Rattus norvegicus: one gene and its partners. The protein of the gene in region 3 interacts with the protein of the main gene of each other region in a pairwise test. Links are inferred from orthologs where the notes say so. Each region holds a gene or a part of one and is shown on either strand. Other genes may lie near its edges. The genes, in order: Zc3h10, Pogz, Nfya and Gtf2a1.

The links.
Region 1: the proteins of Nfya (region 3) and Zc3h10 interact in binary tests that used the Homo sapiens proteins (3 or more experiments, as listed by UniProt). The two-hybrid records come from large-scale screens. The link is inferred for Rattus norvegicus from reciprocal best matches to the Homo sapiens genes NFYA and ZC3H10.
Region 2: the proteins of Nfya (region 3) and Pogz interact in binary tests that used the Homo sapiens proteins (3 or more experiments, as listed by UniProt). The two-hybrid records come from large-scale screens. The link is inferred for Rattus norvegicus from reciprocal best matches to the Homo sapiens genes NFYA and POGZ.
Region 4: the proteins of Nfya (region 3) and Gtf2a1 interact in binary tests that used the Homo sapiens proteins (3 or more experiments, as listed by UniProt). The two-hybrid records come from large-scale screens. The link is inferred for Rattus norvegicus from reciprocal best matches to the Homo sapiens genes NFYA and GTF2A1.

What each region holds. Positions count from the first base shown.
Region 1 is NC_086025.1:1,557,262-1,564,721, reverse strand, and holds Zc3h10 (zinc finger CCCH domain-containing protein 10), read left to right. Parts: upstream 1-2,680; 5' UTR 2,681-2,724; intron 2,725-3,109; exon of another isoform or gene 3,110-3,250; intron 3,251-3,490; exon of another isoform or gene 3,491-3,514; 5' UTR 3,515-3,578; exon of another isoform or gene 3,579-3,654; intron 3,655-3,814; exon of another isoform or gene 3,815-4,530; intron 4,531-4,800; 5' UTR 4,801-4,852; coding exon 4,853-6,160; 3' UTR 6,161-6,774; downstream 6,775-7,460. Other genes in the region: Rpl41 (small ribosomal subunit protein eS32), read left to right, coding at 1,426-1,437, 1,741-1,763, 1,982-2,024. UniProt on the Homo sapiens protein: Specific regulator of miRNA biogenesis. Binds, via the C3H1-type zinc finger domains, to the binding motif 5'-GCAGCGC-3' on microRNA pri-MIR143 and negatively regulates the processing to mature microRNA.
Region 2 is NC_086020.1:185,107,222-185,114,068, reverse strand, and holds part of Pogz (pogo transposable element with ZNF domain), read right to left. Parts: intron 5,997-6,847; coding exon 5,821-5,996; intron 4,551-5,820; coding exon 4,442-4,550; intron 2,749-4,441; coding exon 2,458-2,748; intron 2,379-2,457; coding exon 2,169-2,378; intron 1-2,168. UniProt on the Homo sapiens protein: Plays a role in mitotic cell cycle progression and is involved in kinetochore assembly and mitotic sister chromatid cohesion.
Region 3 is NC_086027.1:20,082,286-20,089,607, reverse strand, and holds the start of Nfya (nuclear transcription factor Y subunit alpha), read right to left. Parts: upstream 4,528-7,322; 5' UTR 4,403-4,527; intron 1-4,402. Other genes in the region: ADP-ribose glycohydrolase OARD1, read left to right, coding at 5,676-5,714, 6,074-6,218. UniProt on the Homo sapiens protein: Component of the sequence-specific heterotrimeric transcription factor (NF-Y) which specifically recognizes a 5'-CCAAT-3' box motif found in the promoters of its target genes.
Region 4 is NC_086024.1:116,226,563-116,233,409, reverse strand, and holds part of Gtf2a1 (transcription initiation factor IIA subunit 1), read left to right. Parts: intron 1-210; coding exon 211-286; intron 287-1,540; coding exon 1,541-1,674; intron 1,675-1,924; coding exon 1,925-2,245; intron 2,246-5,950; coding exon 5,951-6,040; intron 6,041-6,847. UniProt on the Homo sapiens protein: TFIIA is a component of the transcription machinery of RNA polymerase II and plays an important role in transcriptional activation. TFIIA in a complex with TBP mediates transcriptional activity.

The DNA of each region.
Region 1 (7,460 bases), on a different chromosome or scaffold from region 3:
CTTCAGCTGGTATCTGCATGCCCTTACCTCCATACCAACATACAGACACAATTATGATTATGTCTTTTTACAAAAAGCATACTACAGTATGCTTTCTCTGCTTGCCAATCTTACAGCCTCCAGTTTGCAAATTTTTGGGTTTTTTTCGAAACAGGATTTCTCTGTGTAGCCCTGGCTGTCCTAGAACTCACTAACTCAGGATGTAGACCACGGTGGCCTTGAACTCAGAAATCCTCCTGCCTCTGCCTCAGGGAAAAAGCGTGCACCACCACCTCCTGGCTCTAAAATCTTTTTTTTTTTTCTTTTCTATTTTTCGGAGCTGGGGACCGAACCCAGGGCCTTGCGCTTGGTAGGCAAGCGCTCTATCACTGAGCTAAATCCCCAACCCCCTGGCTTTAAAATCTTAACTCTTTTAGAAATTCTGATATGGGGCTGGAGAGATGGCTCAACGGGTAAGAGAACTGACTGTTTTTCCAGAGGTCCTGAATTCAAATCCCAGCAACCACATGGTGGCTCACAACCATCTTAAAAAAAAAAAAAAAAAAAATAAGGGTTGGGGATTTAGCTCAGCGGTAGAGCGCTTGCCTAGCAAACGTGAGGCCCCAAAGTCTTTTAAAAAAATTCTGATGTTGACACACAGTTTAACTGGGGGATGGCAGAGGGATCAAATAGAAGATAATTAGTAATATTTTTGTGGGGTTGGGGATTTAGCTCAGTGGTAGAGCACTTGCCTAGCAAGCTCAAGGCCCTGGGTTCGGTCCCCAGCTCCGGAAAAAAAAAAAAAAAAGACCAAAAGTAATATTTTTGTTTATTTACTTTAGGCAGGGTCTCATTATGTAGATCGGATTCACAGAGCTCCGCCTGCCTTTGCGTCTACCTCCCAGCAGATGGTAATAAAGGCGTGCACCACCAAGTCAGGGCAAAACTAGTAATTTTTACTACAAGCCACACCTATCAGTAGTAAGTAGAGATATTTACCAAAAAACTACAATTCCCATGAAGCAACGAGAAGACGGAGGTTATTTTTTTTCCGCCTACTTTTTCTCAGTCCCATACTGGAAACAGGTGCTCGCGCTGAAATAATACAATATCCTTAATATAGAAGGAAAGGTGGGGCTTGGTAACGCGCACTCAAAACATTTTCCTCTAGTAAGGCAACCGGAAGTCACTTACTGTCTCGAGCAGCCCCTCCCTAAGGGAAACAGAAGGGGCGGCTCGGAAGTGACGACACCAAGCACGCCATTAAATAGCAGTAGGCCGGACTCCCCGCTCTCTCGGTCTTAGCGCCATCTTCCTTGGTGAGTTACCGTGTTAGCTGTTGTTTCGACTTCGAGTACAATCCATTAACATCCGACCTCCACATTTACTCTCATCACAGCAGACTAACGGCAATTTCTTCCCTTTCTTTCTAGAGACTCCTGCGCCATGAGAGCGAAGGTGAGCGGTTCATAAGTGGTGAGCTTGGGCGGTAGGAAGGAATTGTGAGGCGGAAAATCAGGCAGTGAATCTCCGCCATGGTTCTTCATCGGGTTTGCAAACGGTTTGCTTCGGGTTTTCACAGAGCCGAGTACAGGCTTAAGTCGTAGCTGGAGGAAGGTGGGAAAACAAGATTCGGATCTAAAATTGAGCCAGTGCCGCACCAACTCTTGATTCTTTGTCAAACCTGTTTTCTGAGTAATGTTCTTACCCGGGCCTACTGCTAACATTCTTTTTTGTCTTCTCACATGATCGGGCTTTTAGTGGCGGAAGAAGAGAATGCGCAGGTACGTTAATTTTTTGACTTAACATTGGGGCAAAGGGGCAAAGCTTGGGGTGGGATGTTTAGAAGAAACTTAATGTGAAAATGTTTGGCGTGGAGGGACGTTTAAGCACGGTTCATCGGAGCTGGTGTTGTTTAATTTCATCGTATTTTGTACGAAGTGCAGATGGTAAATGTGGGAAGGGGAAAAAATTAACTCGGTTTGTGTGCCTGCCTTTCCAGGCTGAAGCGCAAGAGAAGAAAGATGAGGCAGAGGTCCAAGTAAACCATCTTGTGCACCCACGAAGCCTGCGGGAGCAGAAGTAAGGGATGCTGAAGCCCGGAACAAGTGGTTGGACTGTATGCTGCTGTCGGTAATAAGTCTCAGTAGACCCGGAATGTCACCTCGCCGAGATCAGCTGGGAAAATGACTACCTTCCTCACAACCAAAACAGTCCCGCTGGCCCTCTGCCCTGGACCTTTGGCATTCTGGACTAGTTCTGTTCTCTTGTGGCCAAGTGTAACTCGTGTACAATAAACCCTCTTGCTGTCAGCTGAAGAATCAAATCGCTGTTACGTGTTTTTTGCGGCTCCTTTGGGTGGGGAGTTGTGTAGTCCAGTGTAGGCAACAAGAGCCCGGGTGTTTGCGATCTGGCTGGAGCCAGTTGATTTAGTGTGCGCCTGAGTTTAAGTTAGAGTTCGTGCATTCGCAGTGCCACTTCTATGTTTTGGGGGGCCCCTGCGTAGAAGTTGACGCTGTGCGAGTTCCGGGTGCGGAGGAGTCGTGTTACCATGGTGACGCGCAAGGCTTGCTGGGAGCTTCCTGCGGTTAAGAGCACGCAATGGGACCATAGAGTGTGTTTCCGGGTCTGGTGGCTAGAGCGTCCCTTTCTTCCGCAGGAAGCGGAAGAGCCGTAGGGTGGGCGGCTCTTTGTCGAAGCTAGAGGACCGGCAGGCGGCAGCAGCAACTACGGCGGCGGCGGCAGGTGAGGGAGGCGGGAGACTTAGGTGGAGGCCGCGCCCGGAGGGGAGGAGTCGGGGATGGCCCATCGGCTGGGCTCTGCCGGGCCCCACGAGCCTCCTCCAACAACCCCCCCCCCCCGAACCGACCTGGCTTGGCTTTTCCTGGTTACCCAGAACAGAGCCCTTTTTCTGATTGACCTCGCTTCCCGAGCAAACGCCAGCTCCGTGACGTCACAGCCCTGCCCATCCCCTCAGCTTGATGTCACCCTTAGCCCCCCTCCCCTTTCACTTCGCTTCCTTAGTGTCCTAGTCACCTGGTCCCCGGCTCAGTGCTGGCGCCGCATCACGGAGCCGGCCAAGCCAGAAGACTTCCAGGGGAACTCGTAGGACTTTTCGTGAACTCTAGGGTGTTGGGGACCGTCGTAATCACCGCCCCCAAGTCTTAGATCGCCTTCCCACTGACAGTAGTCAGTTGTTGCCCTTGTCCAGCTTTCAGGTTTGGCGTTCCGAAATCCAACCTTCTGAACCCCATATCCTTCTCATCTTGAGGTAAAGCTCCCCGAACCCTTCTGCCACCAGAAACTATTTTGTTTTTCAGTTCAGCTTCCCAATCTTTATTGGTCGGTCCTAGCCCTATCTTTATTAGGGACTTCTCCCTATGATAGGTGACTGGCACTTTGAACTCTTAAGGGAGCCTAAAAGCCACTTTTTATTAGAATTCATTTCAGTGTATGAAAACCACCTCGTAGCCCTTTCACGTTGTTTTCCTTGTTCTACTCAAATCTCCAGGTTTTTTGTTTCTTTCTTGTTCAGAACCCAGCAGTGATGTGGAGGTGGAGACTCACGGGAGCCCCGGACTTCACCTGAGCTACCTCAGGTATTAATTCTGGGATAATGGGGTGAGGAAGATTATCATATCCAGTTACCTGCTTCTGGTGGGACTTGAAATATAGGTGAGGCTCTGGAGGTATTTAGTCTTCACCCGGTCGTCATTTTTCTTTCAGTAAGGGCTTGTTTTTAACCACTTGTTTCTTTTACTCTGGGTCTGCTCTTCCCATCTTGCATATTCTTGTGTATCTCTGGCTTCTAATCTTGTTAGTTATTTTAGGGAAATCTAAAGGCAAAGTCAAGGAAACGGGTGTGAATGGGATAGGTCAAAGAAATCAAGAAAGGTACCTTTATTCCCAAACGGAAACTATGAACCTCTCCTATTTGACCTGTAGGGGGAGCCTGAGTATTTAGGGAACATTTAGAAGATTAGACACGTGTTAGCAGGGACTCCCAGTCTTACTTAGGGGTAGAGAGAAGGGAGGGCTAGAATTAGGGCAGTGGATCTACATTCCAGACCTCTCTTGAGAAACAGGAGACTTAAAAAGCTTTTATAGAGTCTATAAATAAAGAGGATTTGTATGGGGTAAGGAGTGCTATGGTTTGATATTAGTCGGAGTGCAGTGGGGTGGAGAATGGGGAAAGAAAGGTCACCGTTCCTGTGAAATTAACCCCTTCCCACCTTGAGCATCCCACAGTTTGTCCTAGGATCTAGAAGTAGAAAGTTCAGGTCAGAGCTTCTTCCCCGAAATGAGGGTGTTTGTGTGTGGAACAGACTGGGAGATGAACAGGTTTAAGGATGACCCTGTAACTAGTGACACCAGTCTTTTTACCAAGGGTTTCTACAATTCATGGAGACTTGCTGAGTTCACATTGAAGAGGGATTAAGGGAAGTTCTGTTTCTGGTGTCCCTTCATCCACGAGTTCTCAGAGCAAAATAGCCCAGTGTTCACACACCAACACCTGCTTTAGTTTCTCTCCCACGACTTAGAAGAGAGAAGGTAAAACCTCACACTGCCCCCCTCCCCCTCCCCGGCTCATGTTAGTAAGAGAAGTGGCTTCAGCCCAGCTCTCTCCCTCTTCTGTTAGCCAGGCAAGTGTGAATCACTCCAAATGAGACCAGGTGCACAAGGGCCTAGGCGGGGCTCTGGCAAGGCAGCTGGGCCGGCTGGGCTTCTCCTTGGGCTCTCCATCTCCAGAGCCACTGCCCCAGAGGACTGGGGGCTTCTGGAGGACCTGTTTGACACCGTTCTCTCTCTCTTTTTTAACAGTCACCAAGAGTGGCGAGAGAAGAAACAAGACCCTGAGCTGGGGGGAACCAGGATGCCTGACCGGGACAGCTATGCCAACGGCACTGGGAGCAGCGGTGCAGGCCCTGGAGGTGGTAGCAGTGAGGAGGCCAGTGGAGCAGGGACAGGCAGTGGGGGGGCCACCTCAGATGCCATCTGTAGAGACTTCCTGAGGAATGTCTGCAAGCGAGGCAAGCGTTGTCGATACCGCCACCCAGACATGAGTGAGGTATCCAATTTGGGGGTAAGCAAAAACGAATTTATCTTCTGCCATGACTTCCAAAACAAGGAGTGTAGCCGTCCCAACTGCCGCTTCATCCATGGCTCCAAGGAGGATGAGGATGGCTATAAGAAAACAGGAGAGCTGCCTCCTCGGCTGAGGCAGAAAGTGGCAGCTGGGCTGGGTCTCTCACCTGCTGACCTACCCAATGGTAAGGAGGAGGTCCCTATCTGCCGTGACTTCCTCAAAGGTGACTGTCAGAGAGGAACCAAGTGCAAGTTTCGTCACCTGCAAAGAGATTTTGAGTTTGAGGCTCGAGGTGGAGGAGGCACTGGAGGTGGAGGCTCGACAGGCTCTGCTCCCCCAGGACGACGGCATGATCTCTATGACATCTATGACCTTCCGGAAAGGGGCTTTGAGGACCATGAACCGGGCCCTAAGCGCCGGAGAGGTGGCTGCTGCCCTCCTGATGGCCCCCATTTTGAGTCCTATGAATGTAACTTGGCTCCGCTCCGTGGAGTGGAGTGCAGACTGCTCGAGGAGGAGAATGCTCTGCTCAGGAAACGTGTGGAAGAACTGAAGAAGCAGGTCAGCAACCTGCTGGCCACCAATGAGGTACTTCTGGAGCAGAACGCCCAATTCCGAAATCAGGCCAAGGTCATGACCCTGAGCTCCACTGCACCCGCGACTGAGCAGACCCTGGCCCCCACCGTGGGCACTGTGGCCACTTTTAACCACGGCATTGCCCAGACTCACACTACTCTGAGCAGCCAGGCTCTACAGCCTCGGCCTGTGTCCCAGCAAGAACTTGTGGCTCCTGCTGGAGCACCAGCTGCTCCCCCAACTAATGCTGCACCTCCTGCTGCTCCACCACCCCCACCTCCACACCTGAACCCAGAGATCACACCACTGTCCGCCGCTCTGGCTCAAACCATTGCCCAGGGGATGGCACCCCCGCCTGTGTCCATGGCCCCTGTAGCTGTGTCTGTGGCCCCTGTGGCTCCTGTGGCTGTGTCCATGGCTCAGCCCTTAGCAGGGATCACAATGAGCCACACTACTACTCCTATGGTGACGTACCCCATTGCCTCCCAGAGCATGCGCATCACAGCCATGCCACACTGACAGGCCAAACGGACACTCCCTCCCTGTCATAGCACCTGAGGGCTGCGGTCAGGGGCCCTTCCCCACCCGCAGAGCCCAGCCCTCCCAGGCTCTGTCCAGAGGACCACTCAGAAACTAGGACAAGAGACTACAAGGAATATACTCGGTAGGAGCGTCTCCTGAGGCAGGGTTGTGCTGCTGTGTTCTCCCCACTCTTGAGAGGGTCGTCTCCTTCAGGCCTCAACTCAGACAGGCTTGCACAGGCGTTGAGACTGAAGCCAGCAGAAAGGGCTAAGGGACTGTGTTTTCTCACAGGAATTTGGGGGGGTGTCCCTGGTCTTATTTTCATTGTGAACAGCACAGATTCCAGCACTGATATGGGAGAGAAAGATTCCTCACCCAGAGAGAGCCAGGAAAGATGGAGAAGTGAAAGTCAGTGGTCAGGAGCAAAGACCGCACGTGAGCCTTCAGATGGTTTGGGGCCCAAAAATACTCCTGGGCCCCTGGGGAGGCCGGGACCATAGTACTCCAACCCAGAGTAGGAGAACACTCACTTACCTCGCTTGGCCTGGAAATCTGTAGGGCAGTGCCCACTACTTTCCAAAGAAATAAAAGAACGTTATTTTTTAACAAAAGTGAAAATTGCTTTGATGGCTGTTGGGGAAGATTGGAGCAGAAAGTAGATCTTATGCCAGAAAGGGGGTGGGGGGAAGACCTGCCCCCATGTAGCTGGGTAAGTTGGGACGCAGGGTAAAGATGTCAAATGGCCAAACGGGGCTTTGGTTTGGGGAAGGCACTTTCTGGGATAAAAGAAATGGAGCCACCTAGTCTAGTTTAAAAATAGCCCTGTCTGTCTCTAGTCTCTGTCTTCATGTGCTATTCCCAGGTTGCCTTGGTAACCAGGGCTCTTAGGGTCATTCAGGGGGGCAGGTACTAAGGAGGGCGTCTGTACTGAGAAATGTGATGTTGTGTAGTTAACAGATGCCCTTATTCAAACAGCAGGACAGGCGGTGCTGCCTCACCAAGCCGCTGACAGACGGCAGTTTGTCTTTCTGCTCCAACACATCTTCAGGGCCAGTGCTTTCCAGGCTTCAGAAGTGCTAGGTGTGGGGGCGCAGCTCTAATCCTAGCATTCACTCTGAAGGGGATGGGACCTAAGGATCAGGAGTTAGAGGTCAGCCTCAGCCACACAGTGAACTCCAGGTCAGCCTGAGGCCTTAACTAAAAAACGTAATAATAAAAACAATATGAGAGGGGTTGGGGATTTAGCTCAGTGGTAGAGCACTTGCCTAGGAAGCACAAGGCCCTGGGTTGGGTCCCC
Region 2 (6,847 bases), on a different chromosome or scaffold from region 3:
GCCCTCTTTGCCTCATTTTAAAAAAGCATTATTGTTGTTTTGTATTTTTTTCTTGAGATAAGGGTTATGTAACCCTGGCTGTTCTGGAACGTACTGTGCATGTAGACCAGGGTAGCTTCAAATTCAGAGATTTGCCTGCCTCTGCCTCACAAGTGCTGGCATTAAAAGTACAGGCCACCACAACAGGCACGACAATAAAAACTCAACATTTTGTGTATTATACGCATGCCACAGCAGTGTGTGGACCCACTCCGTCACGCATGTTCTAGAGAGAACTCAAGTGGTCAGTGTGGTGGCAGCACTTTACCTGCTAAGCCACCACACCTGCTTTGCCTCGTCTGATGCATGCAAGCTTTACATTTCAAATGTAGCAATTTTTATTCTTGCCTGTGTTTTGGCATCCAAGAAACTGTTGTTAAATCTAATACTGTAAAGCTTCTTTCCTAGGCTCTCTTCCTAGGAATTCTGGGTTTGGTCAGTTGTCATGGCAGGACCTCACACGTGTACAGTAATCTTCATGCATGGCCTCCTGACTGCTAGATTACGATATACGCCATTATACTGTCCATTTATGTTTAGGAGAGGTTCTCAGCACTGCCTCCTAGACCCTTGCTCATACTGAGAACACAGCAATCCTTTTCTGGTCTCACAAGTAGCTAGGTCTATTTACAAGCATGTGTAACTGTGTCGACTTTTTTCTTTTCCTGTTTGTACATGGTATATACATACATATGTGTATTATGCATGTGTGGATATCTTACCTGTGGAGGACAGAGGTTAATAACTTCAGATCCCTTCCCCTTGCACGCTCCCAATTATTTCTGAGACAGGGTCTTTAACTAAACCTGATCGTCACTGCACTGTTTCGGCAACACTGACAGGCTTTATCACTCCCTTGGTGCTGAAGTCACAAGCATATGCCCCATGCTGGCTTTTATGTGGCACTGGGGATCTAGGTCAGGTGCTCATGCTTAGACGGCAAGCACTTTATTGACTAAGCTACCTCTCCTCATCCCCATTCTGAGTTGGCTGGGTTTTGTTTGTTTAGGATTCTTGAGACAGATTCTCACTGTGTAACCCAAGCTGCCTCACACTCACAAGCCCTTTCTTTTTCTCAGGCATCTGATGCGGAAATTACAGACATGCACCACCACATGCCAATTTCATGTGCAGCTCTCTTCTGAGTGTCACGGCTTCTGTGTTTGCCTGGGTTTTGATTTACCTAGGGTTTTTATTTTGCTGTTAAGACAGGTCTTCTGTATGTTGCCCTGGCAGGCCTACAACTCAAAGATACTTTGTCTCTCCATCCCAAGCACTGGGATTAAAGGCATTCACCACTATATCTGGCTTTCAATTAATTTTTACATTGCACAGAAAGTAAGAATTTCAAATTTTTGTGACTATCTAGTTTTTTCAATGTATTTAAAAAAATTCAACATTTTTTAATAGTTGAAATGAAACCAAAAGAAAAATGAGGCACATGAAAAGTATATAAAATTCTAAGTTCAGAGCCCATAAACACCTTTGGTGGAACAGAGTCCAGCTTTCAGCACCTTCCTACTGTCGGCAGCTGGTGTCTACAACACTTGGAGTGGAGAACGTGCTGGGCACAAAGCCTAGAACATTCACAGAAAGTCACCAGCTCCTGCTCTGGACCACTAAAAATCCTCAGATTCATATTCTCTATCTTCCTGAAACCCCTTTAGCACATCTCCACTTTAAACACTCTCCCCTCAGAGGTCCAAGAGATGGCTCAGTGCTTAAGAGCACCGGCTGCTTTTCCAGGGGTCCTGAGTTCAATCCAGCACCCATGTGGCAGCTCACAGCTGTCTGTAACTACAGTCCTAGGACATCCAATGTAATCTTCTAATGTGCAGATGGACATGAAGACAACACACCCACAAGCATAAAATACATCTTTAAAAGTACGAGTTACCCCAGAAAGTCCACTGTTCCTTCCACAGACTTCTTTCATCAACACATCCATGCCACTACCTGATCCCCAACGCTGCTGGTGCAGCTACATTTTCAATCTTTTACCACATTACCATTTCTGTAAAAACAAAGCACCTGCATCCTATTTATCCATTTCACAATAGTTTCAATGCAAGAAATGCTTTAGCAATGTTTTCTGCGTGACTGAATGGTGTTTCAGTCTCTCACATTACCTTTCATTGAAGATTCGGGTCCACTGGTTCTTTGAGCAGAACTGTTGTTGGACACCACCACTGGCCCAGGACTCTGGCCCAGGGAAGGGATAGTGTTAAGAGTATTCACCAACTTGGCCACTTCGTTGCTATTTTCACCTGTAACCCCAGGTCGCTTCACAGTGACAAAGCTGGCAATGCTCACTGCAGGTGGAGAGGGGAAGGAGGGAGCTACATTGACCAAGTGAAAATCATCTGTTTCCCACCCACTGCCCCATGCTGTTCTGCCGTCTCCTCGTCCACATCTCACCTAGTTTGGGATTCGAGGTCTGGTTGGGCTGGCCTGGAGGCTGACCAGCTAGCTGCCCCAATGCGGTTGGCTGTGTGGCAATGGGAGTAGTGGAGGTACTGGGGGTGGACTTGGTCTGCTGGGACTGGGACTGTGGGACAGTGCTTCGGATGGTGAGAGTAGCTGGGATGACGGTGGTAAAGGTGTTGGTGGTGGGCCTCACAGGCATTGTGGAGCCTGGCCTCACGGGGGTCATCTGAGAGAACACTTGTGGGACGCCAACTGTCGGCTTAACAAACTGTGTACCTGGGGCTTTTAAAAAAAGAGACAAAAAAAGTCCCAAACCTTCATCAGTGAGCTCACCTATAAAATATTTTCTTGCCTTTCCTAGAAATACAAGAACAGGAAAAAGTTACTCCCTAAACTGACTGAGTGACCACCAGAGATCACTAAGAGTAGCATCGATCTGAACATCTAAGAAAGCTGTAGCTGTCCGTCAAACAAAAGGAATTATCCAACGTTTCGTAAAGCAGCAGTCAGAAGAAATTCCCACCAACTCTTTTCAGATGCCCTGCACACACTCTTTTTTACAGTAGCTTGGCCTCCATATTAGAAGTGGGAAAAGATTGGGTATATGCAGGCCAAAGGGCAGACTTGGTCCTTAAAGTCTTTTTTCAGAATTCTAAAAGAATTTTCCATTTTCTTCTGTATACTCAAATAGGACAGGCAGTCTACTCTACCTCAATGTCCCAAAGGTTGACCTTTTTCTAGAACTACTGTAGACAATCCCAGGGAAAAACATTTAGAGAACCTCAGAATGTTAGAGACATCTCATCAGATTTATGCCTTAAATGCCCTGATGGCTCTCAAACAACAACAAAGGAAACAAAAGAACAACAACAACAACAAAAAAAAAAAACAAACAAAATGCTTTGGAAAGCCAACCACAGAAGCCCCTTATTGTCCTTGTATTTATCTGAGTGTGTGTATGTGTATATGTGTGAGGGGTGGGGGGTGGGGGTGGCATGCATACCACAGTGTGCAAGTGGAGTCAGAGCAAACCAAGTGGGAACTGGTTCTTTCCATCATGTGGCCTCTAGGGAGTGAACACAGGTCCATTTAGCCCTGAGACACCTACTGGTCCTAAGGACTGTTTACACAAATAAAGTTACTCTCTTTTTGAGCCAAACTGTAGAAAACCTAATAGGTAAGCATTGTGATTTGGGGGGAAATTACAAGAATCTTCTTTTGGTACTGAAAAATTGACCCCAAGGCCTCAAGCAATGCTAAAAATGCTATAACTCCAGCCCCAAGATTCTTTTTTTTTTCTTGGTTCTTTTTTTCGGAGCTGGGGACAGAACCCAGGGCCTTGCGCTTCCTAGGCAAGCGCTCTACCACTGAGCTAAATCCCCAACCCCCCAAGATTCTTTAATATTCCATTATATGGTCAATGGTAGTATTATCTTCAAAACATCTATCATTTACTTAATTTATATCTAAAATTCCCCCAACCTCTGCCTTAGCTTGTTTATTTCTTGAGACAAGACTTGGCCTTAAATTCACAGTAATCCTCCTGCTTCAACCTCCTGAATGTTGGATTCCAGGAGTGTGTCACCATACCTAGTGGCATATAGAAAACCTATGCTTTACAGTTAAAGAAAAATTCAATTTATAATCCTATCCCATAAGTGAGTAAATGTATGGGGAGCATTAGATTTGTGGGTTTGCATTAACAATATTCTTTCAGGATAACAAACAAGAGCTGACCTCATCAGCAGATACTGTTTGACTAAATAAGACTTATTTTACCTCATGAATGGTGGTGAAAAGTTAAATGTAAAACTAAAATTACCACTTGACTAAAGTTCAGACTTTTTAAAATTGGACTTAAATTGTTAACATGGTATTTTAAAATTCTGTTTAAATACATACTTCCAAATGACCGAGACTATTTTGAAACAATAAGAGTAAGTATCTGGATGCCAGGTTGTAAACATGTCCTTACCTGGGACCAGTGTAATTGGTCTGACTGTTTGGCCTTGCTGTACATTCAGCACGATCCCAACCTGGTTCATGGCATTCTGTACAGGGCGAACATTCCTTACAGGGAATCCCTGTATCAAAAAGAAAAATGACCTTTAATACAGACCAACTAGCCAGACACTGACTACAATATGACTGACAGCTCCACAGTCTTACCTAGCAGCTCTCTCTAGAATCACAGCTTTCAAATGACTGAAATGGAGAATTTTAGGAAATTATGGCATGCTAGGTTTTTATGGGGTGTTTTTTGTCCTTTGTTTTTGCCTTGAGACGGGTCTTGCTATGTAGCTTAGGCTGCCCCCAAACTCCTAATTCTGTTGGCAAATATCTTTGGGGTATTTTTGTTCTGTTTTTTTGAGACAGGGCTTTATATAGCCCAGGTTGGCCTTAAACTTGCTATGGAGCCCAGGCAAGCCTTGAATTTATGACAATTTTCTGCTTCATTCTAAAAGCTGGGGTTATAAGCATGTAACACCACACCCAGAGTGCTTAGCAAACTAAAGAAGCAAAAGCAACAAAACTATGCATCCATACACTGTGCTTTGAAGGGAAGAAAAATCACTAATAGTATTTAATCTAGTATTCCGACAGATAAATCACCTTTTTTTAAAAATATGTTGCTCTCAAGCCCACTTCAAAGGCCACAAACCTCTGGTAACTACAAAGGCAGAAAGAAGCATGTGCCTCTTAAATTCCACCCAGATTTGGGCTTTCAACTGACAACCGGTATACTGTATGGCAGAGCCTTCCTTCAAAGACCACTTATTTTATACATGTATTTAAAAGTCAATGAATTCACCCTAGGGGATAGAAGCAGCCCAGGCAAAAGTTATCCCTTGCAAGGCAAATGTGAAGGCTTCAGGTTTTTTTCCCCTTAAGATGTGTATGACTGTGCACGTATGTATGTGCACCACAGGGATGCCTGGTGTCTGTGGAGGTCAGAAGGCATCAAGCCTTCTGAAAGTGAAGTTACAGACACAGCTACGAGCTGACATGTAGGTGCTGGGAATTGAACCTGGGTTCTCTGCTAGAACAACAAATGTTCTTGATGGTTAAGCCGTCTCTCCAGCCCTGAGTGAAGCCTTTCTAATTCTAACTTTCCTGATGATTTCTGCTCAGACTTTCAACTCAACAGACCTCTCAGGTGCATGGACAGGCAATATCATGTAGCCATAATGCTATGCTGAGCATTCCACAAGGCAGAATTCCATGAAACAGTACGGAGAACCTCAGTTCAACAGACAGAACTCTAACAATGATAAAGATCGTGTCCAAGGCAGAGCCTCTGCAGGCTCACCGTCTATCTCCCCAAACAGACCTAGAAGTCGAAGCCCCACTCACCTGGGTAGTGATGAAGATAGGTTGTGAGGCCACAGGGGAGCTAGTCACATGATTGGCATTCTGCATGACCTGGACAGGTCTCAATACTGGTTGAGTAACCATTGTTCCCAGACCCGGTGTTGGATTTTGGGTCAAGATGAGTGGTTGTCCACCTTGCTGGACCAAAGTATTACCAGCTAAAAAGCAAAAGGCAGGCAAAACAAAGGGAAACAGAACATGAAAGGGATGTTAGAAACAATGCTAAACTTGTATTCATAAAAACATTATTATCTCAGTTAAGAATTAGTGTCTCAAATATCAAAATTACTTAACTGCTACTACTCACTTCAGGCTTAATGTCACTAAACTCACAATTTAAGCTTCACTCAACTCTACAACTAACAGAATACAAGCTCACTAACCCACCCGTGCCTGGCCCAAGGCTGAGAGGCACCAGTTCCTATCTTCAGACTAATGAGTTAAGTCATCACACACTTCTCCCCAGTCAGCAGAGCCAAAAAAGGTAAGACTTTCCAAATTTAAAGTAAAATCTTTTTGTAAGAAAGTAATTTGTTGTTGGCTAACCCCCTTTTAAACTTTCCTTTTTTACATTTGCTTAGTGTGTGTGTGTGTGTGTGTGTGTGTGTGTGTGTGTGTGAGAGAGAGAGAGAGAGAGAGAGAGAGAGAGAGAGAGAGAAGCAGCTCTCAGGTACTCAAGCTTAGTGGCAGCAGGTGCCCTTTACTCACTCCCTGAACCATCTCACCAGCCCTAAACCACTTTGTTGTTGTTTGAGAAAGGTTCACATTTAGTTTGATCCAAAATAACACGAGACATTCTTCTACAGGAAATAGCAACTGTGGTGGTTTGGGTGAGAATGGCTCCTGTAAGCTGTTATGTTTGAGTGCTTGGGCTGCAGTTAATGGAGCAGCTGGAGAAAGAATGGGATATGTGGCCTTATTGGAGGAGATGTTTTCTGAGACAGCCTTGTTATAGCCCAGGCTGGCTCCAAACCCAGCCAATACTCTCAACCCACCTTCCTGAGTACAG
Region 3 (7,322 bases):
TATCTACAACATGATGGCTTTTCTTGGGTCAACTTGATACATCTGGTATTAGCTAAAACCCAAGCAGCTGGGCACCCCTGTGAGAACTGTTTCCAAGTTAAGTCATTTGATGTGGGAAGGCCTACCTTTTATCTGGCTATGCCTGGTGGCAGCCCATATAAAGGACCTGGATTTGCCCTTTGCTGCTTGCCCTTGTTGGCAACGTCATTCCTTCCCTGACTGTATAACCTAGTACTTCTAGATTCTGGCATATACTGAAGACAGCTAAAATTGAAATATCCAACCTCATGAACTGAACAACTAGATTCTTGGCCTTTTTGTTGGTAGAACACCATTGCTGGACTAGTTAGATTACTTGTAAGCCACCTTAATAACACACACAGTCTCTCTCTCTTACACACACACACACACACACACACACACACACACACACACACACACACACACACACAGTCAGTCAGTCAGTCAGTCTCTTGTTTTATTCCTGGAGAACCTGACTTAATACACCAATTTCCATATACTCTAGTGCGGCAGAACTAACTTATATTCCAACCCATGAGGTTTACGAGCTATTCCCATCCTCACCAGTACTCTTTATTTCCTTGATGACAGCTATTCTGACTGGTGTAAGAAGGAATTACAGTATAAGTTGATCTGCATTTTCCTGATGGCTCAGTATGTTATTTTTAAATACATCTACAGGTCACTTGTCTTCTTCTGAAACTGTCTAATCTATTTACTTGTTTATTGCTTAGATTATTTTGTTTGTAATTTCTGAGCTCTTTCTGTATTCTGAATATTAATCCCGTCAGCTGAAAAGCTGGCTAAATTTGCAGAATTTTACACCAGCCTTTCTTGAGCCGGTTGACTGAGCTGGTTGTGGAGACTCCAGGTCCGATACGGAGAGTCAGCCAAACTAAGTGGCTGCACTAGGGAAACCAATGTTTCCCTTATTGGGGTGAGGAGGCTCAAGGGTGTTGACAGGTAGCTGCATGGTGGTCGCATGGTCCAGGCTGCCCTCAAACTCAGAGATCCACCTGACTCTGCCTTCTGACTACTAGGATTAAAAAGCTTGCACTACCATAGTCTACCCAATGTTTCCAAGTCTACCTTGTGTTTAACAATGTATCTGTCTCCAGACTAATAAATTAAGGCTACAATATAAACAAGCATGGCCCCATGATAAGAAACTGACAGCAGTAGCCTAGACAGAAAACAAATCGGATTTCCTGAAGCCTGAGGGAGGGAGGGAAGGAGACTGACTGAACAAGCCAGCCATTATGGGGATGACCAACGTTTTCATCCTTTTTCTCAAGTGGGGACTGTACAGGTGTGGAGAGCTTTAAAAACTCACCCAAATATAGACATATACAATGATTACATTTTGATGTTTAAAAAAAAAAAAAAAACACACTCACCCTCTGTATTTCAACACTTCCACTAGCCCTAAGACTCTTTCCTATAAAGCTTTCTTCTTGGCTAAATTTCCTAAATCTGCATCATATCAGATTAAATGCAGAATGGAGCTTGAAGTGGACAAGAGGACTGGAATGGCTGTAAGGAACACTTGGATCTAATTCATTTACCTCGCTGATACAAATGCTCCATTCTCAGGCCACTGAGACCCACTGTGCTTCAGAGGGTAAAAACAGAGGCAGCTTCAAATTCAGCAGTCATTCTGTATTGACAAGGGAGTGACAGAGCTTGGAGCGCAAGCCTCAGACTGCTCATAGTGCCTGCTTCTTGGCTCCAGTGCAGCTACATGCTCCTTCCTTGTCACCTCAGCCAGCAGAACTGTGGCACAACCTGACACACTTCTTTCCTCAAGCATTTCTTTGCCCAAGTTTATGACAGAATCAAGAGCTGGATTTAGTCTGTCTAGCTCTTCCACAAACTTGTGAATGTGGTTTTGAAAGTGAGAACATGAATGAATATGAATGAAAATGGATTTATTCTGGCCTCTGAGACATTCTCTTTCCATAGCATTTTCTGACCATTCACATGGCACAGAAGCAGTTGGCCAGCACTTAGAAAGGTAGGTAACCTATCTGAAGATAGCAAAATCGGAAATGCCCAGAAATGCGACTAAAATAAGCCCATCTGACCTGACAATCATACACCAGAGGACAAACCAAGAAAAACATTAGGAAAGGGTGTCATGTGAATTAGATTTAAATGTGAGATCTTACCCAGATGATACTAGTCTACGGTGAAGTATTTCAAATAAAGGGAAAACATTTGGGCTCTGTCTCGAGAAATTGAGAATCTACTTTTTCTTGAAATGCAGATGCAGAGGAAACCAGGGGAGGCTCCACAGGCCTGAGTCACCGTGACCAGATAATGGCCCTTTGTCCACAAAAACATTTGGCAGTTTTGAAGTGGCCAGATGCATCCATTTTTAAAATTCCAACCAAAGTTAAAAAACCCAGTCCAAAGACAAGACAAATAGACCTATAAAGACTGTACTGATGTAGTTCGTTTATCACAAATGGAAGAAGTAATGTGTGCTGGCTTTTTTTTTTTTTGGTCAACTTGACATAAGCTAGGGTCTTCCAGAATGAGGAAGAAGAATCAACTGAGAAAATGCCCCCTTAAGAATGGACAACAGGCAAGCCTATAGGGGCATTTTCTTTAATGTGGGAAGGCCCAAACCAAGAAAGGCTGTCAAAACCACGAAGAACAAGCCAGCACACAGCACCTTTCTATGGCTTCTGGTGGAGTTCTGGTCTTTCCTTCCCTTCATGATGGAAAATGAAATAATAATGAAATGCTTTTGGTGTGGTGTTTACAGCAACTAAAAAAGGCAAACGAACATAAGGGAATTTAGTAAACAATTTAAGGGTAAATGTGATTGCAAGCTGTTTTGGTTTAGAAGGGGGAACATTGGATTTGCTTTCTCAAACCCTATCAGTTAAAAACTCATACACAGAAAATCGGTTCCCAGCTTCACCTGAGTAAAAGATAATTTCCCTCTTCCAGGCAAAAAAATTCCTTTTTTTCCTTAAAAAAAAAAAAAAATCCAGCCATTATTATGGGGTAGAATCTTCAGGTCAGCAACCTTTCCCCGAAAGGTTAGGGAAGAAATCCACTCTAGGCCACTTTTAACCTCCAGTCCAAACTGTTTTCAAAAAATTTCTTTGTAACATCTGCAAAGGTTTTTACAAATGGGTCTTTCCCGCCTAAACTCAGTACTCCTGGGCCTTTCTGCGTCCGACAGCACTATCTGTTCCAGTTATTCTTTTCAGTCTTTCCTCTCCGAGGACATTATCCTCCAACACCCAATCAAAAGTGTGGCGATGAAAATAGGCTTCCTCATGCAAACAGCACTTCTCGATACTAGATTAGATCCCTATGAAACACTAGCACCAGTCAATCTCCACTGAGCAGGTATGGCTCCTACCCGTCTCCTCCTTGCAGCACTTGGGTGATGCCCGCCAAAGACTATGGCTAGCAGCCCTTGGAAGACTTCCTGTCGCCCGAGTGGGTGTGTGGTGTGGTGTAATCTAAGCATGTGCAAGTTTTAAATCATCAATTGAGAAAACGTTCACGCGGGATTCCAAAGTGTTTTAGAAAAAAGACACGGTGGGCTGAGTTATTGAGCGGAGACTGACACAAAAAAGATTAAAGGAAAACAAAACCAGAGAGCATCCAAGGGAGAAAGTTCAAGGGAGGAGGTATGGATAAATAGGAACTGAGAGATGAGTGCCCCCAATCATTAAGAATGCACAAGGTTATCAGGCAAGGTTTCAAACACCGACACACCGAAGAGGAAGAGCACTTGGTTGGGATCCAGCACGGAGGTGTGCCGGCACCGCGGGCAGAGCGGGGAGGAAATGACGACCCAGAAAGGGGTGGTAACGGCGCCGGCCTGGAGCCCCGGTGGCGGGCCGAGAGGAGGGGCAGGCGCGCCAACGGCCCCGGGGTGGGTCTTGGAGGCCGCGCCGCGCGTCTCCGCCTGACCTCGCTCGGGATCTGTAGTCCCAACTGTGGAGAGCTCAGGGTACGTGGACCTCGCCGGGGCCCGGAACGCGGGGACACAAGAACAGGCCGTAGGATGTGGCTGGAACGACTTGGGGAAACCGCCACGACCCGTGGTTGGGCGGTCGGCCACCTGACCTCCCGGGACCCGAGGATCCGGGACGAGCGGCGCATCCGCCACCGGCACCCGGAGAGTATCCAGATCCCAAAAAGCCTGGCTCCAGGGCGCCATCCCAACGTTAGACGGCCCCCGTAGGCCTCCACAAACTCCAAGCCGGGGCTGCTGGCTACCCAACTCCGGCAGCCTCGGCTCGACTCCCGGGCTCGACGGACGCCTGGGCCTCTCCTGAGTGGTCAGCGAGACCCGCCAATCGGGGCGCTGGGGCCGGCTCTGGGCCGCTGGATATTGGCTCCTCATACTCACCGTGCCTCGCTCCCCCGGTTCGCTGCCCGCGCTGATTGGCTCCAGTACCGGACCCCGAAACCCAATCAGAGGCTCCAGCCGCCGCCGCCGCCGCCACTGCCGCTGCCTCGCAAAATGGCGAATCTGAACAAAGGGGAATCGGGCCTCCCTCCAACCGCCTTCGCGCAAGCGCCTTCGAGACCACGCCCCATAACCCCGGCCAATCTGGCCCCGCCCCTGGGAGGAGCACTGCGCAGGCGTTCCAGAGGCCCCACCCACTTCCTGGATTTGACACCGCCTTCCGACAGAGGACTACGCAGGCGCCTTCCACAAGCTCCGTACTAGTCTTCTTAAACACCGCCCTGAGTTATATACTACGCAGGCGCTAACACGCCTCCACCTTTTTTTTTTTTAAACTGTCCACCTATATCTAAGCGTCCACTGGGACCCACCCCCTAGGGCCAAATGCGCAAGCGCTCTTCTTCTCTAGTAGGGGTCGGTATTTCGGTACGCATGCCTGAGCGGCAGCGGGAACCTACGGAATTTACCGCCGGAAATTCTGAAGCCTTTACTACAGAGAGCGGGCACGGCTACCTAGCTAGAGAGGCTCACTTCCGCCCCGTTAAGGGATGGGGGCGGCCATCTTAGAGTGCGTACAATCAAAGGCTTTGGCGGGATTTGTTCTGTGTCGGGGCGCTTCTGTTGCTTCCCATCTTCGAGGGTTTCATCTCGAACCCTTCCCTGCGTGGAGGAGGGCCTGCTGACGGCCGATTCCTTTGCAGGTGAAGAATGACCCCAGCACCCACTTTTCTACGGATCCCAGGACTTCCCTCCTTAGAGTAGGAGAGAATGAGAAGTCATTTCACACTTTCCTTCCTGCACCTCCAAGACAGTTGGTGATCGTCCCCTGAGAAGCTGTTCTCTCCACCTGAGTTCGATTCACTCTGATTGCCGCTCAATGCGCTTGTGGTCAAGTCTTTCCCATTCTAAGCCATATTCTCTGGGGAAATACTGGACTGTCCTAAACCTACCCTGCTAGGAGAAGGCTTGAAAGTAAGGAGGTGTGTCTTGGGACCGCCTTTTCTTCCGCTCCTGGAAAGCTGTTTTGTGTTGCCTCTTAGAGATTGAGTGAACTCAAATTCAGAGATAATACGCTAAGGAGGTGGGGAAAACTAAATGGGTTGTCAGGGTGATCTGAACACGCGATGTTCAGGCTGCCTGCGCCGTTTTTACTTGCTTTTCCTTTTCATTAGCAGAAGAAACTCTTAAATTCTGGAAATAGCGACTCAGTATCATGGCCAGCCGCATTAATGAAGATCCAGAAGGAAGTCGAGTGCGTAACAGCTATTAAATTTATCGGTGAAGTGAAATTCAGAGTAATTGAGGTCAAAAGCATAAACACTTTTTAATTAAACCAATAATTGGATTCTCGCCCCTCCCTGTTTGTTTCTCTCAAGCTGATTTACTGGGGAAAGGCTAATACAATCCTAGGCAGATAACAATCATCCCTCACTTCCCTTTTACAGATACTTTAAAATTTAGTGCTTAATTCTTTAAGATGGGAAGGGATGTTTTTAATTCAGAGTGTCAGAGAAGCAGGTTTGGGGCAGTAGGGGTGGGGCTCTGTTGAAGATCTGAAAGGAGAAACAGTTTTCTGGTTTTAACCTTTTTCTTTTCCTTTGCACATTTTAGATCACTTATGTGAAAGGAGATCTTTTCGCATGCCCCAAAACAGACTCTCTAGCCCATTGTATCAGTGAGGATTGTCGAATGGGTGCTGGAATAGCTGTTCTCTTCAAGAAGAGATTTGGAGGGGTGCAGGAACTGTTAAGTCAACGTGAGTTCTGAGAGCATCGTATCCTGTTTCATGCTGGCTGAAGCCTGGTGTGGTCTTCCATTAGACTCCGTGTACATGTACAAAGAGATTTCTGGTGACTGCTTTTAACTGTTAAGGGGTTATTGTTGCTGTTGTGCAGCTACTGCTGCTAGAGTTTTTTGTTTGTTTTTTTTTTTTAACTTCCTCAAGATTGGCATCTGATGTGATTTTTACCACACTAATCAGAGTTGTCAAAGTTTCCGGTCTCTTCCCCCTTTTTGTGTCTGAGTTTGCAGTATGCAGATACATGCATGTAAGGAGGCCTGGGGTTGGCACCATCTGTCTTTGTTTGCTCTCCACCTTTTTCTTTTGAATCTCTTAATAACATAGAGTTTGTCCATTTAGCCCCATTGGGTTAGTGCCGGGCATCCTGGATGTGTTTTTCCAGTTTGGGCTCTACAGTGTGTACCTGACACCTAGGTTTTATGTGGGTGCTAGGAATCACCCCAAGATTCTCATGTTTGTGCAGTATGCACTTTACTGATTAACTCATTGCCCCAAAGTTGTCCTTCCAAAGTATTTCACTTCTCTCAAACTTTGGTTAACTGAAGGCCTTATCAAGTTCCATGTGCTTTGGCGGTCAGGGTCCTGTCCTAAATATTACTCTGTTCTTCCTTAGAAGTAGAGTCTCATTGTGGAGCCTAGGCTGGCCTGGCACTTGGCGTGAAACATAAGTTTGTCTTGAACTCTTAGCAGTCCTGCTGGCTCAGGCTCCTGAAAATGCACATTACAGGCATGAGCCACGACAGCAGGCCTTCTCAACTTAATTCTTCACAGTGTGATTTGGGCCAGAAATGGTTGCAAGACACCTCGATCCCAGTGATTGAGATATAGAGAGGGATGAATCACAGTGAGTTCAAGACAAGCCTGGTCTCCATGAAGAGTTCCAGGCCAGCCCGGGCTATGTACTTAGACCTGTGAAGTGTGGTTTGGAAACCACTTTACAGATCCGTCCACCACTTTCTGCCAGTGACTTTAAATGAGAACTGTGTATTAGAGTACATCTGGAGCTTCTGAAATAATCTCGGACTATAGTTCAGCCCTACCCTCTGCAGAAGAGCTAGT
Region 4 (6,847 bases), on a different chromosome or scaffold from region 3:
AAACAATTGGACCGTCCTTTCTTGAAGTACTTCAGTATGTTATTTAGGCTGTGCTGTCTGTTTTGTGCCACATTGAACTTAATCTTGTTGCTAGAATGCTATCATAATAAACTCCTTCCTGTACTGCTGTGCTGGCACTGCCAGGAAACTAAGATTTTGTTGCGTGCACATGCAAATATGACTTTCTTCCTTTGTTTTTTATTATTCCAGAGTGCTGCTGCTACAGCTGCTACCTTGGCGCTCCCTGCAGGCGTGACTCCTGTTCAGCAGATACTAACAAATTCAGGTAACTAGAAACGGGGGGCAGCTTTAAATGTTGTTCAGAAGTTAGCATCAAGGAACTCTAATGGTTATTGTCACTGAAGAAGGAGGACAATACTGACACTTGTTTGAGCTTTTGTTTAGATTGTTTAAATGATTTAAGTGTTATAAAATAGAGAGCTGTAATCTTTCTTGAGGCTACAGTTGAGAAAATGGAAGTTATAGCCGGGTTTGGTAGCATATAATCCCAGCAGTTTGGAGTTGGAGGCAGGGGGTCAGAAGTTCAATCTCAGTCTACTTTTATAGAAAGTGTGAGACTAGCAGAGACACTGCTTTAAGAAGAAAAGGGGATAGAGCTTTTGTTCTTGGATGGAACCCTGCTGAAGAGGCATGATTATGTAGAAATGGTTATGTACTGGGATTTTACTAAGCATCTGTCTTGCCAAATGACTTAAGTGAGATATTGTGATGACCAAGTTGAACATTTCACAGGCCTGAATAGCTAATACCTGTCATTTTATTTTTGTTAATTTCTAAATTTGAGGAACCAGTTAGGGCTTTGTCTTGCTGCATGTTTTTGCTCACTCTTAAGGATTCTGTTATATCTAAAGGAACATACACGAGAGTATTGTATATATTATGTTATTTGGTCATAATTTCGGCATTCTAATTGACTCACAGCAAATTTTCATTGCATATTGAAAATTTTAAGCAAACCTTGTGCTTTGGTTTAAGATATAAATGAGATATTATACCTTTGTGCCTTTAAAGTTTAATAACAACCATTGAAATATCTGATCCTATTTACTGCATTTCCTTGACTGCTACCATATGACGAAAAGTAATTAAGGCTATCAGAAAGTATTATTTATTTATATATATATATATGTAAATATATTTTTTCCAGTTTTAAATTCTGTATATATGGGTATTTTGCCTGCTTGTATGTGTGTGCACCACATGCTTGCAGTTCCTTGGAATACCAAAAGAGACCATTGGATTCCCTAGGACTGGAGTTAGAAATACTGTGACTTCCCATTTGAGTGGTGGGAGTGAAACCCTAGACCTCTGGACTAGCAGCCAGTGTAACCGCTGAGCAATTTGGATATAGAAGAAAACTGGGAACAGTAATAGAGTGTAAGGCGTATAGTTGATAGTCCTCTGTAAAATGCTTACTCTTCTAACTTGGTAGGTTCTTTGGCTTGAAAGCAATATAAATTTCTTTGTGTTTTAATTGCTGCTTAACTAGTAACTTGGACTATATTCTTTTTTGCCATAGGCCAGCTGCTTCAGGTAGTCAGAGCAGCCAATGGTGCCCAATATATCTTTCAGCCTCAGCAGTCAGTTGTTCTACAACAACAAGTTATACCACAAATGCAGCCTGGTGGAGTACAAGCGCCTGTTATCCAGCAGGTAATGCAGTTTTACCTACCATCCCCTTGATATTCATTTTCTTTGGCTTCTGCCTCTGCTGTATGACTTTGTGTGCTTCCCCGCTCTTTTCCTGGACAGGTTAATAGGTGTACAGCAGTCAAGAACAACCTTATTCTGAGTTAAGATGATATGCCTTCAAGCACATTTCTCATGTTTAAATTATTATTAGTTTGATTTTGATTTTGGATCCCTGTAACCAGTTTGTAATAGGTGGTTTTGTTTGCCCTAGGTCCTAGCCCCACTTCCTGGAGGGATTTCACCACAGACCGGTGTCATCATCCAGCCACAGCAAATCTTATTTACAGGGAATAAGACTCAGGTCATTCCTACGACAGTGGCAGCGCCCACACCAGCACAAGCACAGATCCCTGCAGCTGGACAGCAGCAGCCACAGGCCCAGCCTGCTCAGCAGCAGGCTCCATTGGTGCTGCAAGTTGACGGAACAGGGGACACATCTTCTGAGGAAGATGAAGACGAAGAAGAAGACTATGATGATGATGAAGAGGAAGATAAAGAGAAAGATGGAGCCGAAGATGGGCAGGTGGAAGAAGTAAGTTTCTACAAAAGCCTTGAAAAGAAAAGGCGCTCACCATTCACTATTGTATTTGGTGCTAAGCAGACAAATTATACACTATTTTTTCAGAGGGAGAGAGAGGTGGGTGCTTGCACTGTTGATTGTACTATAATTCGATTATCCGTTTTTGGATCTATTGATTATTTTGGTGGCTTGTGTTCTGGAGCTCCTGCATTTCTCTTTATGGACATGAACTTGCCAACCTAACTGTATGAGTCTATCTTGCCATTTTGTCTGTAATTCGTAAACATCAGTGTGTTATCACTTCATGATAGAGCAGACTGTTAAAAATTTTCCAGTCTGAAAACCAGTCTCTCGGTTTGGTTTTAGTTTGAACTTCTGTGAGTACTTAGAAGCTTCAGTTGCTTCCGTGTGTTTACTGTTATTTATTTTTTACTATGTTGAAATGGCAGGTAGCATTATTTCCAACCGTTTCCCACAGTTTTAGTCCTTCCTTAAGTGACATTTACATGGTATTTCTTCAGATTGCTTGTGTAATAGACATGTATAGAATTTTTAAAACTCATCGTTGAGCCAGCCTGATGTGTTTATAATAATGTGTTTGTTGACGCTTTTGTTTTTTATATAGAAGTTTTTTTTATAATGGTCTATTGTTTGTTATTGTTGTTGTCATCGTGGTTTTTTTCATTTCCTTGTACATGTCTTTTGGGGCTAAGTGAGTTGATTGCTTTTGTAATTAACCAAGTACTTTGCTTTTTTTTTTAATTACTAGGAAATGTATTTTATTATTAAATGCCTTTCTGCAACTCTTAGTCACAGTATCACATTTATAGCCTGCTATTTATGAATTTTATTGAGTGGTCCTACTTTGTAAACCAGTATTGAGTTTTCATTATGGCACAGCTTGGTCATTATGTATTATCCTCTCTAACTGCCGGACCCACATGGACAGAAGTTTTAGATCAGTGTTTATGAATGCGTTTGTAATTTCTTTTCTCTCAATCTTCTCACCAGTTCTCATGTTGATAGTATCCTTATGAAAGAATTTGTAATTTTTTTAGAAACATGACATAATCTCTTCTGTGATTTTTTTTTTTTTTTTTTTTTTTTTTTTGGGTTCTTTTTTTCGGAGCTGGGGACCGAACCCAGGGCCTTGCGCTTCCTAGGCAAGTGCTCTACCACTGAGCTAAATTTTTTTTTTTTTTAATTGTTTTAAAGACAGGGTCTCATTAAGTAGCCCTGGCTGGCCTGGAGCTCAGTGCCTCCTATGTTCTAGAATCAAAGGTGTGTCCCACTGTCTGTGCCTGGCTAAATTGGGGCGGGGTGGGATGTGTTTTGCTTTTTGTTTTTGTTGTTTGTTTTTTTGAGGCAGGTTCTTTTTTTTTTTTTTTTTTTTTTTTTTTGGTTCTTTTTTTTTTCCGGAGCTGGGGACCGAACCCAGGGCCTTGTGCTTCCTAGGTAAGCGCTCTACCACTGAGCTAAATCCCCAGCCCCTTGAGGCAGGTTCTTACTATATAGCACTGGCTGTCCTAGAACTGGGTATGTAGATCTTCCTGTCTCTGCCTCCCGGGTGATGGGGTTAAAGGCTTGTGACAACCATGGATAGCATCTGGGTATTTGCTTCTTGTTGTTGTATTTACCATTGAACGACCTATCCCTCAGCTCAAGAGCATCTATGAAAGTTTCAGTCTTACAACTGTAAGCAATTCAGTTCTGCCAGCCCACCTGAATGAGCTTGGAAAAGACTCAAAGGTTTAGGTGACAATATGGTATCTTGTGATGCCATAAATTTTAACCTATGTGAGACTGAATAGGGAAATTTTCTATATTATGCTATGCTTATACTTTTGAGCCTCAGGAACTATAATAACAGATGTGGTTTTCTTTTCTTAAGCATTTTTAGTCATTAGGGAAATGGAAATCTAAACCACAATTGGGAGGTCGTCATACCTACTAGGAAAACTATCATTAAAAAAAATTATGTGTCTGGTGGTTTTGTCTGCATGTATTTCCATGTATCATGTGTATTCATTGCCTATAGAGGCAGAAGACAGGGTGTCAGATCCCTGGGATTAAAGTTAGAAATCGTTGTGAGCTGCCATGTGGGTGCTGGAATTGAACCCAGGCTCTCTGGAAAAGCAGCTAGTACTCTTAATTGCTCAGCCATTTCTCCAACCCACACTGCTGTATTTCTTTTTAAAAAGAAAGTTTATTGATGATGATGAGGATTAGGAAAAATCGGAACCCTTGTGTATTTCCAGTGTGAATAAGAACCAAAACAGCTTTCACAGAAAACAGGGCTTTGAACACAGAATTAAGCAGAGTTAGCCATGTGCTGCTAAGTTTCACTTGCAAATGAACATAGGAAAGAATTGAAAACAGGAGTTCAGACAAAACCATGTACATGAGTGCTTACAGCAATACTCTTGTCACTTTCCAAACAATACAGACATCCTGAATGTCTGTCAATAACTAGTGAATGGCAAAGAAAAAGTGGCCTATCCAGACAACAGGACAGCATTTGACCGGACTGTAAGGAAGCATGAAGTGCTGTGCGTGCTGCTACATGAGCATACACGAACACCCAAGCACAGCACAGACACCCACAAATTGTATTGCTTTATTTATGTATACAGAACAGGCACATTTATGAAGTCATAACGCGGATTGGTGGTTGCCAGGACACAAGAGGGAATAGAGAGTGATTGCTTATGTAAAGGTTAGTGGAGTGCTCTGGAGCTGTGGAGACAGGAAGTGTATGTTCTAAATGGTTTTATCGTTTTTTTCCCTAACATAGACATTTCTGTTCAAAGAGTATATTTGTCACACACCCCTATGTATGAGTGGCATACACCAAGGCTTTAATATCCTCAATTATTTTCCTTTCTACCTCTGTTTTGTCTTGTCTTTCCCCTCGTCATTTAAATCTGAGTTAAAGCTTCTGTCTTACACCACAAATGAAGTTTAACCTTATTTTATCAAACCCTTCTTTGGTTTTACTTTTGCCTCTGAGGCGGTTCATCCTCTACGTTTAAGAGTAATTTAAATCTTAATGATTTTTTTCCACCATGTCATCATGTTGATAAACAGTACTGATTGGCTTTTAGAATCTTAGTTTTTAGTACAGCCCTGAGGCCACACTTTGTTTTCTTCTTCAATGCCATTTTTTTTCCTTTTAAACTGTTGCTGGTACATAATACTATGACCTCATGAGGCCGTCATATCTTCTCAGGTTTATTCCTAGGCTTATGAAACAGGGAAATTTGTCTTGAGTACTTATTAACGAGTAAAGAACAATTTAAAAATGATGTGCATGATCGATTTTGCCTACATGTGTGTTTGTTTACTGTATGAGTGCCTGGTACCCAGGGAGGTCTGAAGAGGGCATCTGAGATTGGAGTTAGAAATGGTTGTGAGCTGCCATTGTGAGTGCTGGGCGTTGAACCCAGGTCTTCTATGGGAGCAGACAATGCTTTTTAATGAGTTCCAAAGGAAATAAATGTTAACCTTTTGAGTCTTGTGAGTTCCCTAGCTTAACTTTCCTTAATTTCTTGCTGAAGTAACATGAGCAGACCTTAAGCGTTGACAGCTCTGCATTCAGTGTGTCCAGATACACACCTGACGTCCTCAGAACATCCCAGCTACAGGAGCTCTCAGTAAGAGTTACAGGAAACTTTATAGCAAGCGGTGCATGAGATCTGTGTCTCCTTTTGTTTGCAGGAGCCCCTCAACAGCGAAGATGATGTAAGTGATGAGGAAGGGCAGGAACTCTTTGACACAGAAAATGTTGTTGTATGCCAGTATGATAAGGTAAGGACTTCACATTCGGTCGTGAACGTTGTTTTTATTGTAGTCTCTCTAAACCATCTTTTCAGCCTCACTGAAACATTTAGGCAGAAGATGACTGCCTGTATTTCTGTTTTTCTTTTACTCCTGAGACCAGGTTTTATTTAACAACTCAGGATGGCCAGGAACTCCCATGTGTAGCGAGCTAGCTAGTCTAGGATGACTTTGTATTCAACTGTACTCCTGCTTCAATCTGGGCTTATAGGCACATGCTGCCTACCACGTCTGGCTTCCTGACTTGTTATAGCCAGTGTGAAGGGACGCATTGTGACTGCTTCACGGTTGTTTGAGTAGAATGAGTAGAACTTGACTCCTTAACATTGCCTTGAAGAAAGTAATGGTAAGATGGTGAGAGATGATCATTTTCATATTCATCCACCTTGTAACAGCCCCCCTGCCTTCCAGGGACAGAACTAAGGTAATAATTTTTTCTTTCCTAAACTTCAGCTCTCTTGAGTCTGAAAAGACCTTATTGATGAGTTTTATGAGCTTTCTTAAAATTTTACGGATTTTGCTGTTCAAGGAAGTTTTAAACCAAACTATTTGGGAATTGATCATTGAGTTTTGTAGGCCCCCTTAGTTTATAAGGTTTTGGTTTTTTGGTTTTTTTCTTCCCTCCACTTTTAAGTGTATGATATGAGTGCTTTGCTTGCATGTGTGTATGTCTGTGCACCATGTTTGTGCCTAGTGCCTGCCTGCAAAGGCGAATGGAGGTTGCTCAGATGCCCTGGAGCTGGAGTTACAGGGCAGTTGTGAGCTACCATGCATGCT